3 linked regions of the Drosophila melanogaster genome follow. Changing the gene in region 1 together with any one later gene gives a genetic interaction. Each region holds a gene or a part of one and is shown on either strand. Other genes may lie near its edges.

Region 1 (4,228 bases):
TTGCAACCCCTGGCGACTGTTGTTGATATCATGTCAAGCATTTTATTGATCAAGTTACGCATCCGTAATACGAATCGAAATATAATTGCTCTTTTCAAGTGTCTATCGTATATCAAATGAATTGCATTTGCATCTCCGCCCTTCTGCATTCGAGTCCGTTCGAGCAGAGAGCTGTTCCCACGTTCGAGGTCCTGGATCAGGATCACATGGCCTTAGGCGTTGGTGCGTAATCGCACCAGACTTACAGGATCTTGCTTAACATTATTAAGTACTCGCCCGATGCTGGGACCTCGCACAATGTCTTTCTTTTGAATTCGCTGATCCCGAAGACAGAAAAGCTTGATCTAGCAGCCTCCCGACCAGCGTGCCTTTTCCAGGCAGTACCACTCCCGCGATCTAAAATCCGTAATCTGCTTAAGCGGCGAGCTTAAGTCGAGGAATCGGTGGGTCCTTCGGGACTTGGCAGGACCAAGCGAGATTAGAGGCACTGTCCACTTGAATCCTAAAGGCTCTCAAAAGGCAACGCCTAATCTGGCTCAGCCGCGGGAGCTACTATCTCAAATGGCTAGCTCCCATTTTAGTAACATGAACCTTTGATTTTAACAACTCCGTTTTGGGTTTACTTTAAAATAATTTTATTTATTAAGCATTTATAAAAATTATTATTAAAAACGCAATCTGAGCTCCGCAATAATTTTCATAAAGTATTTTTAGATTGAACCTAAAAAGTTGCCAAAGCTGGCTAAGAAATGCAAATATTTGTTTTTTATTTTAATCAGTGCATATATTTTATATAGGAAATACGTTGTATTTGGTTAGCAGAAGTTATTCCAAAATTTAATTTTATGGGGGAATCGAAGAATTTGTTTAGATGCTCAACATTATAATGCACTTTCTTAATTAAAAAATGTTGAGTACATTTTTTAAAAATTACGATACAAAATTCATACTCAGATTTGTGTAAAATTGATAAGCTCAAGAAATCTGTACAATCTGATATCTATCAAAGTCTTTAGATTTATCATTTCCCTAAACATTTATATGGTTGCATCATAAAAACCTAATTACTGAATGGAAAACAATCAATAGTGCGTGGTATTCAACCCCTGCTGCTACTATCGCCACTCGAAAAGGACTCGCCTCGCAGGACTAGAAGCGAACCCACAGGTACTTCACACAAATCACAAAGCGGCAATAATGGCAGCGCCATAAAATACTCGGCCATGGATATGGAAGGATATCTCTTCATTAACAACTGTCGCAGGACGGGCAGAGATTCTCTGCTGCGAGAGAGGGTAGCAGACGGACGAGGAGTTCGCGTGAGAGAGCAGGTAGTGAATCCTGCGGAAAAGGGCCATAAAAACCGAAAGAATTGAGAATGAGAATGAGCGACGGCTGCTGCGTTCCTTGCTCAATGAATTTTTCGCAATGGCAGCCTGCCGCAGGATCGAAGGATTCTCCAGGGGAGAGTGAGAGAGGATATGCGAGAGAGGGCATTAGAAGCAACCCTCTCCCGAGTTTCGACCAATGAACGCGGAGTTTGTCTACCTAAGGGTGATCGACTGCTCGATGAATGGATTTGGTCTGCAGGACTATTAAAACGCCGGCGGTCCTCACAGCAGACAACACAACCCATCGTGATCTCAGCGAGTCCACATCGGAGTAACCAAGGATATATCGAATATATCACACAATCCGCAATACCGCCGTCCACCCAAACCGTTAAAACAAAAATCCAAAACGACTCAAAGATACACCAGTGCCAAGTGAAATTCAATTTGTGCAAGCGTTTCTACAAAAATCGCCAAAATTACGCCCCACATCGGTATGCAGTCGTCGGAGGGTTCACCAGACATGATGGATCAGAAATACAACAGCGTGCGTCTTTCGCCAGCGGCATCGAGTAAGTATAGCAAAAAAAAAAATCAGATAGCAATGAAAAAAGAAGAAAACAATCTTCCTAATATATAAAATTAAGACAATCCTTTACTTATACCAACTTTCCCCCCTTCTTGAATTTCCAGGTCGCATTCTATACCATGTGCCCTGCAAAGTCTGCAGAGATCACAGCTCCGGCAAGCATTACGGCATCTACGCCTGTGATGGCTGCGCCGGATTCTTCAAGAGGAGCATTCGGAGATCCCGGCAGTATGTGTGCAAGTCGCAGAAGCAGGGACTCTGTGTGGTGGACAAGACGCACAGGAACCAATGTAGGGCTTGCCGACTGAGGAAGTGCTTTGAGGTCGGAATGAACAAGGATGCAGTGCAGCACGAGCGGGGACCGCGGAACTCCACTCTGCGTCGCCACATGGCCATGTACAAGGATGCCATGATGGGCGCCGGCGAGATGCCACAAATACCCGCCGAAATTCTGATGAACACGGCTGCCTTGACCGGCTTTCCTGGAGTACCGATGCCCATGCCTGGCCTGCCCCAGAGGGCTGGTCATCATCCTGCTCACATGGCTGCCTTCCAGCCGCCACCATCGGCTGCCGCTGTCTTGGACTTATCCGTGCCACGAGTGCCCCATCACCCGGTGCACCAAGGACACCACGGTTTCTTCTCGCCCACCGCCGCCTACATGAATGCCCTGGCCACTCGGGCCCTGCCCCCCACTCCTCCGCTGATGGCAGCTGAGCACATCAAGGAAACCGCGGCGGAACACCTATTCAAGAACGTCAACTGGATCAAGAGCGTACGGGCCTTCACCGAACTGCCCATGCCGGATCAGCTGCTCCTGCTGGAGGAGTCCTGGAAGGAGTTCTTCATCCTGGCCATGGCCCAGTACCTAATGCCCATGAATTTCGCCCAGCTGCTGTTCGTCTACGAGTCCGAGAATGCCAACCGGGAGATCATGGGCATGGTGACCCGCGAGGTGCACGCCTTCCAGGAGGTGCTGAACCAACTGTGCCATCTGAACATTGACAGCACCGAGTACGAGTGTCTGAGGGCTATTTCGCTCTTCCGTAAGTCACCACCGTCGGCAAGTTCTACCGAGGATTTAGCCAACAGCTCAATCCTGACAGGAAGCGGCAGCCCGAACTCCTCGGCCTCTGCTGAATCCAGGGGTCTTCTGGAGTCGGGAAAAGTGGCGGCCATGCACAACGATGCCCGGAGTGCGCTGCACAACTACATCCAGAGGACCCATCCCTCGCAGCCCATGCGATTCCAGACGCTCTTGGGCGTGGTGCAGCTGATGCACAAGGTCTCAAGCTTCACCATCGAGGAGCTGTTCTTCCGAAAGACCATCGGCGACATCACCATTGTGCGCCTCATCTCCGACATGTACAGTCAGCGCAAGATCTGAAAAGTATGTAGAGCCTAGACTAATCGCCGCACTCGAAGTGCCTTCCAAGTGCTGGGAACTGTGATAATCTCGGAAGAAGCGCTTTGGACAATACTCGATCAGTGAAATCAACGATTTCTCATATCCAGGAGTCGAGCCTTAAAATACGTACACAACACTCACCTTAATACCTTACCTAAACAGAACTCGAAGTAATCTTAGCTAAAGTCTCTCAGACCATCCAGATGTGTTTCAAATTGCATTCGCAAAAGTTTCAACTTTGCCTGTTAAATACGTCAATCGTAGTTTTAAACACTTTAGTTTTAAGCGCATATTATTAGCTTTAGGATTTGGAAAAATAATTATTCAAAATAAACCTAAAGGTTTTCGAAATGAACATTAATGGGTCTTTTTGGGTGGATGCAATATTTTGGAAGAAATGGAACTGACAGTTTCAGAACTTGGATTTGGACTATCGGAAGTTTTAAACTTGAAAAAATATATTTCATTAATTAAATGAAAAAACGTAGTATTCACATTATTTGAAAGGTCTTTTGGTTTTCAAAAGCTATGCTTAGAAAAAATATATCTAAACTAAACAAGAAGTAGGTCCTAGTTATTTGCGCAACTTTTGTAAGCAGCTGAAAGTGTTATGCCAAACATGGAATCATGAGATTACACACGGAATTATCATTCTTTTTATGGCCATTTCGTGAGGCTTTTCGCATCCTTAGAGACGACAAAGCAACCGCACAGGGCAACCCAGTTAATCACAAATGAATTATGCAAATACTGGAACAAAGAAATATTAGATCGCAGAAGAAACCGTGGAAAATTAGCATAGTTTTTCTGCATGAACAGACCAAAGTCGGCATTAATTTGGGAACCTGAGGGACGCAGTGCAATGGCCGCCCCAGTTTTGATATCCTTTCTCTCCCGCCC
Region 2 (7,930 bases), on another chromosome or scaffold:
AAAACGAACTAACTGCAGGTATTTTAATTATTGCAAACACTACTTGCTCAACTAGCAGTTCTTCGAGTGCATCATTTGCTACCTGTTGGCCCATTTATCCGGAACCGAACGGAAGTAAACCGAAATGCATTAGTCAGACAGCAGGCACAGGGGCAGCACCAATTAGCTGGGTGCTGACAAATTGCACAGCTATTGGCATGGTCTGAAAGGGCAGACCCTTTAGAGGCTCTACAGGATCGATGTCTAATGGTTTGACGAACGTAGTCGAGCTGAAAGACGGCAGAACGGAAAACGCAACCGGAAATGAGCGCGACCAAATGTGAAAACGCGAGGCATAAATTATGGTCAGACGGCGCATACATTCATACGTGGCCAGAACGCAATTTGGGCGAAATGGCCTGCTAATAGTAAATTAATTTCAGACGCTTATCGCCGCCAACTGTGGCTATGGCCATATCCATAGGAAAATAATGCGTGGATGTGTCAGGCCAGCAAAGTGCTGTGTAAATTAGCTCGGCTAACTACATATTTACCCATCGAGAGCCTCAGGAATTTCGCAGTAATGCTGTTCAGATAAGCCAAGCGATTGTCTTAAACTTGAAAGGAAGTGGCACTGGAGGCAAACACGAGACTAGTCGTTGGCAAAAAAAAAAAAAAGAAAACAACACATTAAAAACCGAGCACGTTTCGCCATCGTCGGCCCACATGGCGTATGCTTAACTTCAGTCAAAGTTCAGACCACCTCATTGGGCCTTAATTAGTTTCGAATTTGTTAGCAAGCAGCTCCGACACGCGTTTCCGTCGTTTGAAACAAATGTTTTGCCAAGCTCTCTAAAAGGTCAGATCCACAAACAGTGATCACCTGCATCGCCGGCAATATCTGTAGACTAGACTATAGCCTATAGATATTCGTGTACCAGCAAGTGGAGACGCCATATCGGGCCTTTGGATGCCGCCATATCAATGCCTGAATGACGCAGCGTCAAAGTCGAAATAACATATAATTACACAGAGAAAACTGCATTAAAGTGTTATTCGTTTAATTAAAAAGTAAAGATTATTGTATAATGGGCCCCAATATATTAATTAATTAAACTATTTACCAATTCTTCTCTACTGATAAACTCTAAAATGTGTATAAAAAAAAACTATTGCAACGATGACCAAGCAATTTCATCCAACATCAATCCGCCAACAGGTAAACAAGGTACTTTAAAGTAAGTGATTGGAACTTTTACTGATACTTAGATCAATATCTTATACAATACGCTGCCAAACACACCAAGAGTAAATATTTTTCAATAAAAAACCATCAAATTGCTGTTCAAACAGCATCAATAAATTCTTTTCTCTGTAGTGCGCCGGGTAAAATGTAATAAATGATCAGCAAAACGACAAACACACACGGCTTGGAGAGGCCAGACAAGAGGACCACCATGATGGTGATGGTGATGGCAGCGGCTACAAATGGGCAAAGCATAAATACACAAAAAGATGCCAAAAAGCGGAGACGGAGAAAAAACAATTTCAATCATCATGATCATAATTAAAAGGCAGCCAGCCAGCGCACACACACATAGCGAATGGACCCAGAAGCAACATGTTGCTGCTCCTCCGCTGACTGTGCAACTTCGCACTTCAGAATTAAACGCAATTAGAGCGAGCTGGCACAATGTGAAGAGAGAGAGAGAGAGAGAGTGATAGTCAGCGCTTCGTGGGCGGAGCCATGGCATCTGGAAAATCGAGAGGATTTTTCAAAATGGAGGTGCCAAACCAGAGCGGGACGGCTAGCTCCCGCACTCCGTACACTGCCACAGCCAATCGATGGTGAGCAGCAGGTAATCTCGATCAATGGCTCAAGACGGAAACGAGTCAAGCTCGTTCCATTCAGCTCGATCGAGAGATCGCTCTGCCAGCGGAACTTGCTCAGTTGAAATGCGAACTTGGCGAGCTCAAGACACGACCGTCGCCCAAAGATACAAAAAATTCTCTCAATATATTTGTGGTAAAATAATAACCCACGTACGCGACACCGGGCCTAATCAAATTAACACCCACGCACATGAGAGACTTTTGTGTGCCGTGATTTGCATAATTGACGCTAATCGGCGGCGTCTCGTGCTCGGCTAAAAAGTAAACCCGGGCTCCAAAAAAATAGACACCGCCATATGTTGTGACAGTGCTTTTTGTGTGCTGGGGAACAATTGTGCAAGTGACAAACGCCAAACAAAGAAGTTTCGGGCAAAGATTTAGTACTATTTTTGGACCCAACACATCATGATCACCATGAACGAGCTGGTGGATCTGCGCATGCAGCAGCACATAGCACACGAGATCTATCGCCAGCAGATCATGCAGCGCATACCAGGTAAACTGCTTGCCCCCTTCATATCACTCATCCGCCCCGTTACGCGTGCGGCAAAGCTGTTAGCCATCATTAGCATTAATGGTCGTAACTTTTGGCAAACTGCTTTTGTTTCTGTTACTGTCTCAGCCCACCAAAGTTGGCCAAGATCAGCGGGGTGTGTGCGAGTAGCGGTGTTTATGGCCAGCGGATCATAAAGCTGAGTAATGTGGGAAAGTGATCGCCGATCGAGAAACTTGATATCAAATGCATTTTTCTTGTTGCCGACGGTCGTTAAATTTCGGGATCAGCGTACCCCTAAAACAAAATCGTTGTTTGCCAAAGTATCGCTCCTTATTTTGTGGATACCAGATGGAGGGCATTAAGTTTGGTAATCGGGAAAGAATCGGTGTTCCTCGTTCGCCAAATAAGCGTTTTTATATAACCCCATGTTTGTTCGTTTGTTTTTATGACAAATATGTCAGTCATCATATGGATTTATGCCGTAAGATCTCTTTGGATAAGTCAGAAATGTCACACTTTAATTCAGACCCACGCTCTTAAACTAATGGCGACTATTAAGTTATTTGAATGGGTTTCATTTTAGCCAAATACCATGTTAATATGTTTACATAATTTCAATAATTCTTAATTTTCTTTGTTGAAGACTAAGTAGTTTGTTAGATTGCTTGAGCTTTTGTTAACCTATAAGCCCCCTATTGATTATTGTTCTTTTCAGATCCGTTTCCGCCGATGCTGCCAATTCCGATGCCACGGCACGTGATCATGCCACCTCGAGTCACGTTGCCCGGCGTGGAGATGACCCTGCAGAACGACGATCTATGGAAGCAGTTCCATCAAATTGGCACGGAAATGATCATCACCAAGAGTGGCAGGTAGGTTTAGAACAGAGAGAAAAGATCTTTGATGATGAAAATGATGAAAAACCAAGAGTGGGGGAATCTCGAGATATACAGACTTTAGAGATCGGGAACAAACATAGATGTAGCGATGCATTAGCACGAACATGAAAACTAATACCCCAGACGCAGGGCAAAGAATAATAAACCAGCCAACGGGCGCGGGCACTTAAAGCACCCTATAACGATCCCTAGCCCGATCCCTGGCCCGATCCCGATTCCGATCCGATTCAGTAGAGTCCAGCGAGGATGTGCTGCTGTTAAAGGCTCATTAGATGCAGGCGCCTGCAAATTGTTTACAGCGGCGTCGCGACAACGATTTTCACAGGCAAACAAGGCGGAAGGATGCACTTACGTCGGCAGGATGTGAAAATCGAAAATTGAAAATTGAAAATCGGGAAATGGAAAAGCGGTTGCAGGTTCAGCCAAAATTGATGCGCACTGGACATCGGCTATCGCACGAGGCGTAAAGCGAACAAGTTCGCCGGCACTTTGCGTGCTCAGATCGTAGATAGTACGAATCAAAGGCATAGCGCGATCGCCCGGAGCTAATTTATCGTGTATCTATGAGTATCAGATCAGATGCACGACTACTTGCACAAAGGCGACTACCTAAAAGTGTCCGGCACTTGTTCGAATGTGCGTAAAGTGGCGTCATCGTAATTTATTGTAGACCGACCAACTGGACCGATCGGGCGAGCGCCGAGCTCAGTGGGACGTCCTGTCGGTTCGTCGGCGCTCCTTTATGCCTCGCCTGGCATAAATCTTCGCGTCAAGGATACTTTGTCGTCATCTTTGTAGCTCTTAGCGTTTTTATTGTGGCGCCTGTCTGCGCAGCGAACAACCTGCGGCCCCGAAATATCTTCGCGTTCTGCATTCTATAAGATGCTCGTACATATCTGTATCTTTTGGCAGTGACAGTGACCACAGCTTGTCGACAGATACGAGCAATTTCACACTTGCCCTCAGTTCGAGCCGATCAAAAAGGGTTCCCAAACGCATTAACATAAACTTTTGGTCTCGAAATGCATTGAATGAATACACTTCGAGCCACGAACAACCCTTTTGTTTTATATATGCCATGAATTATTCATATAGTCTGCGTATTAAATACTTTTTATGCTCATCAAAAATGTTTTATGGGCATCGGTGGAGAGGTCGCGATGCAATCGATTTGAATTTTTAATGATTAGGCGCCAGAGTGCCACCGTCTGTCCAATCGCATCCCAATCCCCGTTTCATTTCCCATACGGATACGATCCCAAGTCCAAAACCTATGCCTATGCCAAGTGGCGCTCATAAAAACTAATTAGTTGCTTGTCTGGGCTCCGCTTGCCACTTGAACCGTTCCATCTTTTTGGGTGGTAAAAGCGCAGACGGCCATTAAAGTTAGATAGAACAAACCGTATCGCTTAATGTCTGATACTGGCGGCAAATGAAATGACTTTGTCACGATGCTTTTAGACTGTGTGGGCTCCTCCACTCACCAAGAGAGGCGGTAAACAGAAGCGACACGGTAACTTCGATGAGAAGCGCAAATATACCCAGAATTTTCAATTGGATTCAAACTTTTAGTTGCAGAAAGAAAAAAAGAAAATATTTTACCCTTTCTCTAATAAGAAATGTTATTCCTAGTAGACTCATTCAAAACTGGCTTACGATCTGAAGAGTTCAAAATTTATGTCGTTTGCTTCCAGTTTTATAGCTGTCAATTAATAAATAGTCTCACTCTTAATTTCCTAAATATGCTAATTCTGGGAATATCAAGCAGCTATTTATATGGAATTGTAGGGTAAACATTGGAGTGAGCTCTGGATATTTCCAGAGTACCCTTCGGGAGTCCGAGATCCGATGCTCCGTCGCATTCCTGGCTTGTGTCCCTGCACCTGCGAAGCGTCAAGCGCCAAGTCGAATGCCGTCAAGTGGTCAGCATGCTCCTTACTCGCAGTAGAAAATTCCACTGGTAATTATGCGCAGACGCGCCAAAGATATCGATCTTAACAAATCGTTTGTCCAAATCCAGACAGCGGACTCTTGCCAAAAAAATAAAGAAAAAAAAAAACAATAAACAAAAACTGAGAGCAAGCAAATTGAAAATGAAATTCTAAACCGCACAAATGTCGAAATATTTCGGTGCCGTGCTCTAATGGAATTCAACGGAGCTGAAAAGGCAGACCCGAAGCCAGAATCAAATTAAATGTTAGCAAACCGAGGCTCTGTGGATTTCAATTAATTAATCATCGGTTGAGGGAAACACGAAATCATTGCCAAAAACAAGAAACCATTCGAGGATGAGGACGCTGTTGAGGATGAGGACGAAGGGCAAACATTTTTCGGCCAGGCGCCAAGTGCCGTGACCACCTGCTGTTCCTGCGGCAGCGACTTGGAGTTGAAGGCGAGGGTCAGGGCCTCGCATCCTTGTTAGCACAGGGAAAACGGCCCCTACTCCACCGGGCAATCTCTATTTGACCAGTCCTAATTACATGGCGCATGGAAGGGAAATCTCACAATTAAATATTTGTAACGCCCACGCTGGAACCGGGAATGGGCTCCTTTTGTCGTTCTAGCATGACTATATTTGAGTTTGTTCGGTAAACAAAGGCTCTAAGGTTTTCCAGGCGTTTTCCTGGACTTCCCCCGCTCATCTGACACAGAGGAAAATGTTGTAGGAAAGCAGTATACCAACGATTTGGTAATATTTATAAGGGAAATATCTGTAAGATAACTCTCATGTCTAATATGGTATATACAAAAGGTTATGCTAGGTTTTATAACAACTTTGAAATTAGCCATTTATCAAATAGTAAAATATACCATATAATTATGATATTAAAGTCTTATTTGTATTAATAATATAATGAAAAATGATTTTGTCTTATATAATAAGAGACTGATTAAACTAATAAGATGCTTTTCCTTTCCCCTAAAGACGCATGTTCCCCTCGATGCGACTAAGTGTTTCCGGCTTGGAGGACGAGAGCAACTATTGCGTGCTCCTCGAGATGGTACCCATTGGCGACTGCCGCTACAAGTTCTCCGGCTCCCAGTGGGTTCCAGCCGGAGGAGCCGAGCCGCAAAGTCCCCAGCGGATGTACCTGCATCCGGACAGTCCGGCCACCGGTGCCCATTGGCAGGCGCAGCCCATACTGTTCAATAAGGTCAAGTTGACCAATAACACGCTGGATAACAGCGGCCATGTAAGTGCGGCCAGGGCTTTGAAGTCGTCTCCAGTTACTAATCCAAGTCCAAACCCCTTTCGCCATCCCCATTCGCAGATTGTCCTGGCCAGCATGCACAAGTATCAGCCGCGTCTGCACGTCATACGCACCGCTGATCTGGCGCAGATTCCCTGGGCCCCACAACAGGCCTTTGTGTTCGCCGAGACGGAGTTCGTGGCCGTGACAGCCTACCAGGTAAGTGGTGTGCCATCCCCATCCCTACTCCGTTTACCCTCTCAATGGGCGCCATCATTTTGGTAATGAGTCTAGCTCAATGTCTAATTAGTACTCTCAAATAAAATATATATCTTTGCCACACGATGAGAATCCCTTCTAGTTCAAAATCACCTCATGGTATCCTATCTTTGATTAATTCACATGTTATTCACAGACTTATCCAAGGTTGTCTAAAATCGCACTATTAGGTATTTAACAAAAATGTTTCGTCCAAGAGTATTCGAGTCATGTGTCCTCGAAGTTAGCCTTCCTACTTGTGTGTGCATTTTTTTTTTTGCCAATTCATTGAGCAAAGAGACTGGAAACGATCACACTAATTGGTTAATTTTGGGCAAACGAGCGGCGATCGCTCACGCCGTGGGTAGCTTGGTCAACGTCTCGAATTAGCATGGAACGCCTCCGTGGATCGTGTAGTTGGTGGGCAGGGCAGGCAGAAAGTCAGCGGGTCGGATTGTTGTTTTAGGAAGTTGGATAGCCACATCCTTGTAAATTTGAGCGCCTCGCTGTGTTTTTGTCTAGGTCTAGGCCCATTGACAGCCGACGCCAGTCTGCCTCTAATTAGCAAGATCGCCGAGAGATCGGAGATTCGGTTTGAGAAAGATCCGAAAGATCACAATGTTGTCAAGTCATCTGGAGTGGAACTGAGCACCGAGAACTGGAAACGCAGTCTGGTGTCAAGTGGCCATGTTACTTAACGCCAGCTACTGGACGCCAGTGACTTATGTGATGAGTCTTCTTCTCCTTCTCCATCTCCATCTCCCCGTTGCCCAAGATTATGCTGGCGGCAATCGTCATATTTCACGCTCGTCTTGTTGCCTTCTTCCGCAGAACGATCGCATCACCAAGCTGAAGATCGACAACAATCCGTTTGCCAAGGGCTTCCGCGAAACGGGACAATCGCGCTGCAAACGCAAGATGTCTTCATCGCCAACGGGCGAGGATCAAGATCAGTCGCCGTCACTATCCCATTCTCAGTCCCAATCCGAGTCTGACATGTCGCCAACGAAAGGAGGCGGTGAGACAGCCGGAGGAACATCGTCGATCGGCGATTCGGATGGTCCGCAAATCAAGCGCCTGAGATCAAATGGCTCAGCCTGCTCCTTATCATCATCGCTGGACGATCAGTCGGTGCCTGGCGCCAGTTCTTTGGCCCTGGGCTCTCCACCGCCCCATCTACATTCGCATTCGCATCCGCATCCCCTCCAGGCGAG
Region 3 (4,892 bases), on another chromosome or scaffold:
AAATCCGATTTTATGTAGATTGTTATAAATTAGTTTATTACATTTCGGGTGTTCCCAGGATACAGAATTATTTAATGTGTTTTATAACAACACAGTTTTCATTAAACTAGTTTGCCGCAACTGGAATAAGAAATATTTGGTTTAATAACGATTGTGTGCCTTAATATACATTTTAGTCGGCAATGCACTCTACTTTAAAAAAATATCCTATTATCGTATCAAAATTGATTTTGTTTTTTAACTTTCCGATCTTGGTTTTTTCTAAATACTTTTTATTTGTGTAAATAGTTTGTATATATGTACTTACATCTGCATATACATAACGAACAGTTGAAAGGCACAGCCAAAATAAATAGTAATATATATTGAGGTTATAAACTTCGGCACTTGTGCTTAAATTTATTATTTTTGTATTGCTATACCTTTAATTAATTAAATATAATAATACCTTAATAAGTATATTGTCAACACTTAATTGAGTTTATGTCCATGTACATACATACATATATGTACAAATATTGCACATCGATGAAGACTGTATCAGAACAGTTTGATTAAACATTAACCGAGAGCTATAATATTTGATGTATTGCAATGATTTGTATTGTATACTTTACAAATAGGTAAAACCAGATATTTGTTTATCGTACAATTTCATTTGAATACACAATTTTCAAAGCGACCCGAACAAAGAGAAGAACAGTGTGACCGTGTTAAAACAGTTTTAACATGCCACCTGGCTCACATGTACTCACAATAGCGTTTGAAGCACGTTTTATAACCATAATCAACGGAGTACCATATAAAATGACTTCGGTGGTCCAGAATAAAGTTCTTTAGAACTTGTTTCGCAACTCAAACATAGGAACCACTTAGCATACAACAGCTCTAATATCAAAGTTTGTGACGAAAATTGAATAAATCAATACTTAGTCCACCGGACCGTTTTCGAGCGGAAATCGACTTTATATATAATTTGCAGGGCAATCGTTTGCCCATATAATGCGAGTCAAATCGTAAGAACACGTGTGGTATTGTAACATACATATATAATTCATGGGAATATTTATTCCTGTTTTCCCATTTTACTATTATGATTTTAAAAAGGTCGTATAACATTTTTTTAGTTTAGATCATTCATGCATGGCCCTAAGAAAGCGTTGTTATTCGCTTATAATGATCATTATGTCATTAGGGTTAATTTTTACGAATGGGCGAAAGAGCTGTTGTTTTAGGACAAATACTTTACTTAATATTTATCAAATCATTATTTGTTGTGAATATTTCTATCGATTTGCCAACAAATATGTATAAGTTAAATCAAGGCAAGTCTCTAATGTCCTAGTATCAATGTTTTGTGCTCATTGTTTATAGTGTTTTATGACTCGAATGCTATTTTGTCAAGCATGGCGGGCAGTAAAACAGTCAAATGCAATGCATATAGTCCAGAAACTAACTTTTGACTCAGATTAATTTTTTAAAGATTTAACTGTTTTCTGTTTTAATTTTTATATAAGTAACGAGTTGACTATGGAGTTCCACCACGTTTTTATTTGTCTTGACAGTTTCTATTGATCTGTAAAAAATATTCCATTTCTTTGAACTAAATAAACTAAGGTAGATATAATTTCCAAAACGTTTATCAAATAGTTATTAAGAAATTCATCTTAACCAAAATAAAAAGTATTTTAAGAATCCCTTCAACTACAAAATTTAGGCATAATTTAAATCTAATTGTGTTTCAGACAGTCCTGCTTTACTTAAATTATTGAAAATCAGAAACTTCTGCAAATCATCAACCAAATCGTCGAAAACAGTAGTTGTAACGGGAGTGCTAAGGTTACCACCATCGAAGTTATCGATAGTTCCATCGATTTTTTTTGCTTCTCCAACTTAACTATTCTTCAAACGGAAATCCATTTATTCATATGTGAAAATAGAGAACTGTATAAATAGAAGTAGATAATTTGTGAAATAAACCTGATGTCGCCTTGAAAATACATAAAAAACTTATATTTTTGTCAATAATTATACTATGAATTTCGTTTGTCATTCACATAGTAAATGAATTCAAAGTTTTGTTATCGTGTAACTCGAATTCATATAAATAGTGATAAAGTTTGTTCATAATTTAAAGCTATATTATAAGCACCATACATTACCGAACGACAAGCATAAATCTAATATTTAAGGTATTTGAAGCAATTAACCTTCCCAAAGAAATTGCTCTATTCTTCAACCCTTAAGGGTGGTGGTGAACAAATATATACATATTTCAGATGGTGGTGTGTTACAAATAAAAATAAAAGGTTTTTTTAACTTAGCGAAAATAAGAATTCGTTTGAAAACCCATCAACTATGGTTATTTTTGTTCTAAGTTATAAGGCATACATTCACCTTTTTTTTAAATTCCCCATCAAATAGCGTATTATAAATGTAAACAAACGATTTATAAGTATAATTTCAATAAGTAAAAGAAACAAGCTAAAGTTATCGTTGTTTTAATCAGTACAATAATAACAATGTAATAATGTAATAGTAATATCATACTCATGTTTCCACGCCCAATCTAACGCCCACAAAAATGGTTTGATATTTTTTCATATTTTTATTACTCTTGTAAATTTTTATCGATTTGCCAGATTAAGTATACAGATTCTAGACATAGAATTAGCGCTAGTTTATTGACCAATGTTGCCACGCCCACAAACCGCCGAGAGCTGCCAGTTAAAAAACTCAATGAAAACTGGTGATGTGCATTATAAAAAAAATAGTAAAAAAGGTAACTACATCGATAATGTGAATTAAACTGGGTAATTTGTGCAACATTATACACTACACATAATGCTATGAAAGTCATCAAATACCATGATTTCAAGTGACTGACGTACGTCAACAGGAACCATTGATGGATAATGCAAGTCAAATCGATAGAAATTTACAAGGCCAATAAAATGATGAAAAATTTCGAAAAATCGTTTAAAAGTGTGGGCGTAGCAGTTTTAGGGGGTTGCTGGCGTGGCAAAAATTTTGTTTTGCAAATCGATAGAAATTTACAAGACTATTAAAAATGTTACGAGGGTATACAAATTTCGTCTTTTAATATGATTTTGAATTCTTTTATTTTTAGGATTAAAAAACAAGTAATCGCGTTCCGCTTATTTTTTTACCATGATTGATCCTAGTTCAAGTGAGGAAGAAGGAGAAGATGACGCTGTTCCTAACGTTTCATCAAAAGGACGTCTTACAAATACGACCAAAGGAACAAGTGCCGTTTCTATAATTGGAGGATCTGCAGGATCCGTCGTAGGATCAAACATTCCTGTATCTGGCTCTAATACAGATTTGATCGGAAATCAAAGACAATCTAATATAAGTTCTATTTGTAACCGCAACGATGTTGGGAACATTAGTGTAGCAGCTTTAGGATCAACCTCTAACAAAATTGAGCAAATATGTGGCAACCGAGCTGATACCGGAAATCTTGAAGTTCCCAGTAATGGTATTCCGAGGTTGGTAATGTTCATACAACGCATTATTTTCAAACACATTGCAACAACAATTTCTGTACATTGTGTTCGTGTTTTAATTAATGCCCAATTTTTTTTTACTTTTTATTATTTTTTTATTTTAAAATACATTTTATTCTTATGGGAGGGTAAAGGGCACGAAATATTTAGTTATTTTGTTTGTCCAAGTGAGTGCAGAAACTTTCGAAGTCAAATGACCGTGTGCACGGTAGCCTGCAATATATAGTTAAAGTTTAAGATAAAGCCAATAAAATGATGATGAAAAATATGTTATTGAAGGAGTTAAGCAAAAATAAAAAACATGGAAGAGTATAATCGAGTTCCAAGATTATCAAATACCTGTACTCAGCTAGTGGAAGTGCGATCGAGAAATTTCAAAATTTTTCTCGCTCAAAATGTTCCTCTCTTTTTATTCTTTTCACTTTCTATCGATATGCAAAAATATTTTGTCCACGTTCAACGTACCTTTTTCCCATTTATTAAGTTTCTTCCCACTTTCTATCTTTACGCACACAAACCTCCCAATACTGTGAGGTCCTCTCTTGTAATACCCATTACTCTCAGAGTAAAAGAGTATACTAGGTTTGTTATAAAGTATTTAACAGGTAGAAGGAAACGTTTCTGACCTAACACAGTACATATATTCTTGATCAGGATCAATAGCCTAGTCGATCTGGTCATGTCCGTCTGTCTGTATGACATCCTAGATAGAGAAGTCAGATAAGACTTGCAGATTTCACAGACATTTTTATCGGTATACCAAAACCACATTGGCCAAGCTCCTTTAAACATGTACAAACCGACCAGAACAATCACGGCCACAATATTGAAAATTTTTAAAACTTTTTTTAATTTTATTCCTTTAGTTCTATCGATATGCCAGAGTAACGGGTATCTGATAGTTGAGGAAATCGACTTTAAAATTATTGTCGTAATTATTGTGTAATTATTATAAATATTATTATAAAATAGTGTAGTCGCATGGGAAGTCTTCTGGTGCGCTTCGTCACTACGAGGACTGCCGTTCATAGTGATACATCTTTACCTTATGCCTCTTGACTTTTATCCCTAATTATTTCTCTTGAATGGTTTAACGCAAAATATAACAGTATTATAAAATGAAGCAACAAATAATTTTTTTATTGTTCAGTGGAATTTCGCAAGAAACTTTAAATCAAAGTGTTGGATCGTCAAGGGCAAACTCATTGCCAAGGCCATTGTCACCGTCGCCATCTCTAACCAGCGAAAAACATGAAACTGCAGAGCCGCATGTAAGTAGAAACCGATATAACCAGGGTACATTTAAATTAAAAGTTAGAATTATTTCGCCGAAACTAGTATTATTTATAGACGATCGGGAAT

What was found. Genes that interact genetically often act in the same process or in processes that back each other up.
Region 2: of tll (region 1) and Doc2, changing one enhances a phenotype caused by changing the other (phenotypic enhancement), as found in Drosophila melanogaster (one study listed by BioGRID).
Region 3: of tll (region 1) and Cadps, changing one suppresses a phenotype caused by changing the other (phenotypic suppression), as found in Drosophila melanogaster (one study listed by BioGRID).

Annotation. Positions count from the first base shown.
Region 1 is NT_033777.3:30,850,720-30,854,947, forward strand, and holds tll (tailless), read left to right. Parts: upstream 1-1,595; 5' UTR 1,596-1,827; coding exon 1,828-1,903; intron 1,904-2,024; coding exon 2,025-3,307; 3' UTR 3,308-3,681; downstream 3,682-4,228.
Region 2 is NT_037436.4:9,013,239-9,021,168, reverse strand, and holds the start of Doc2 (Dorsocross2), read left to right. Parts: upstream 1-1,922; 5' UTR 1,923-2,277; coding exon 2,278-2,368; intron 2,369-3,083; coding exon 3,084-3,240; intron 3,241-6,193; coding exon 6,194-6,461; intron 6,462-6,539; coding exon 6,540-6,677; intron 6,678-7,547; coding exon 7,548-7,930.
Region 3 is NC_004353.4:1,229,999-1,234,890, forward strand, and holds the start of Cadps (Calcium-dependent secretion activator), read left to right. Parts: upstream 1-1,884; 5' UTR 1,885-2,192; intron 2,193-3,130; 5' UTR 3,131-3,171; coding exon 3,172-3,512; intron 3,513-4,680; coding exon 4,681-4,801; intron 4,802-4,892. UniProt on the Drosophila melanogaster protein: Calcium-binding protein involved in exocytosis of vesicles filled with neurotransmitters and neuropeptides. May specifically mediate the Ca(2+)-dependent exocytosis of large dense-core vesicles (DCVs) and other dense-core vesicles.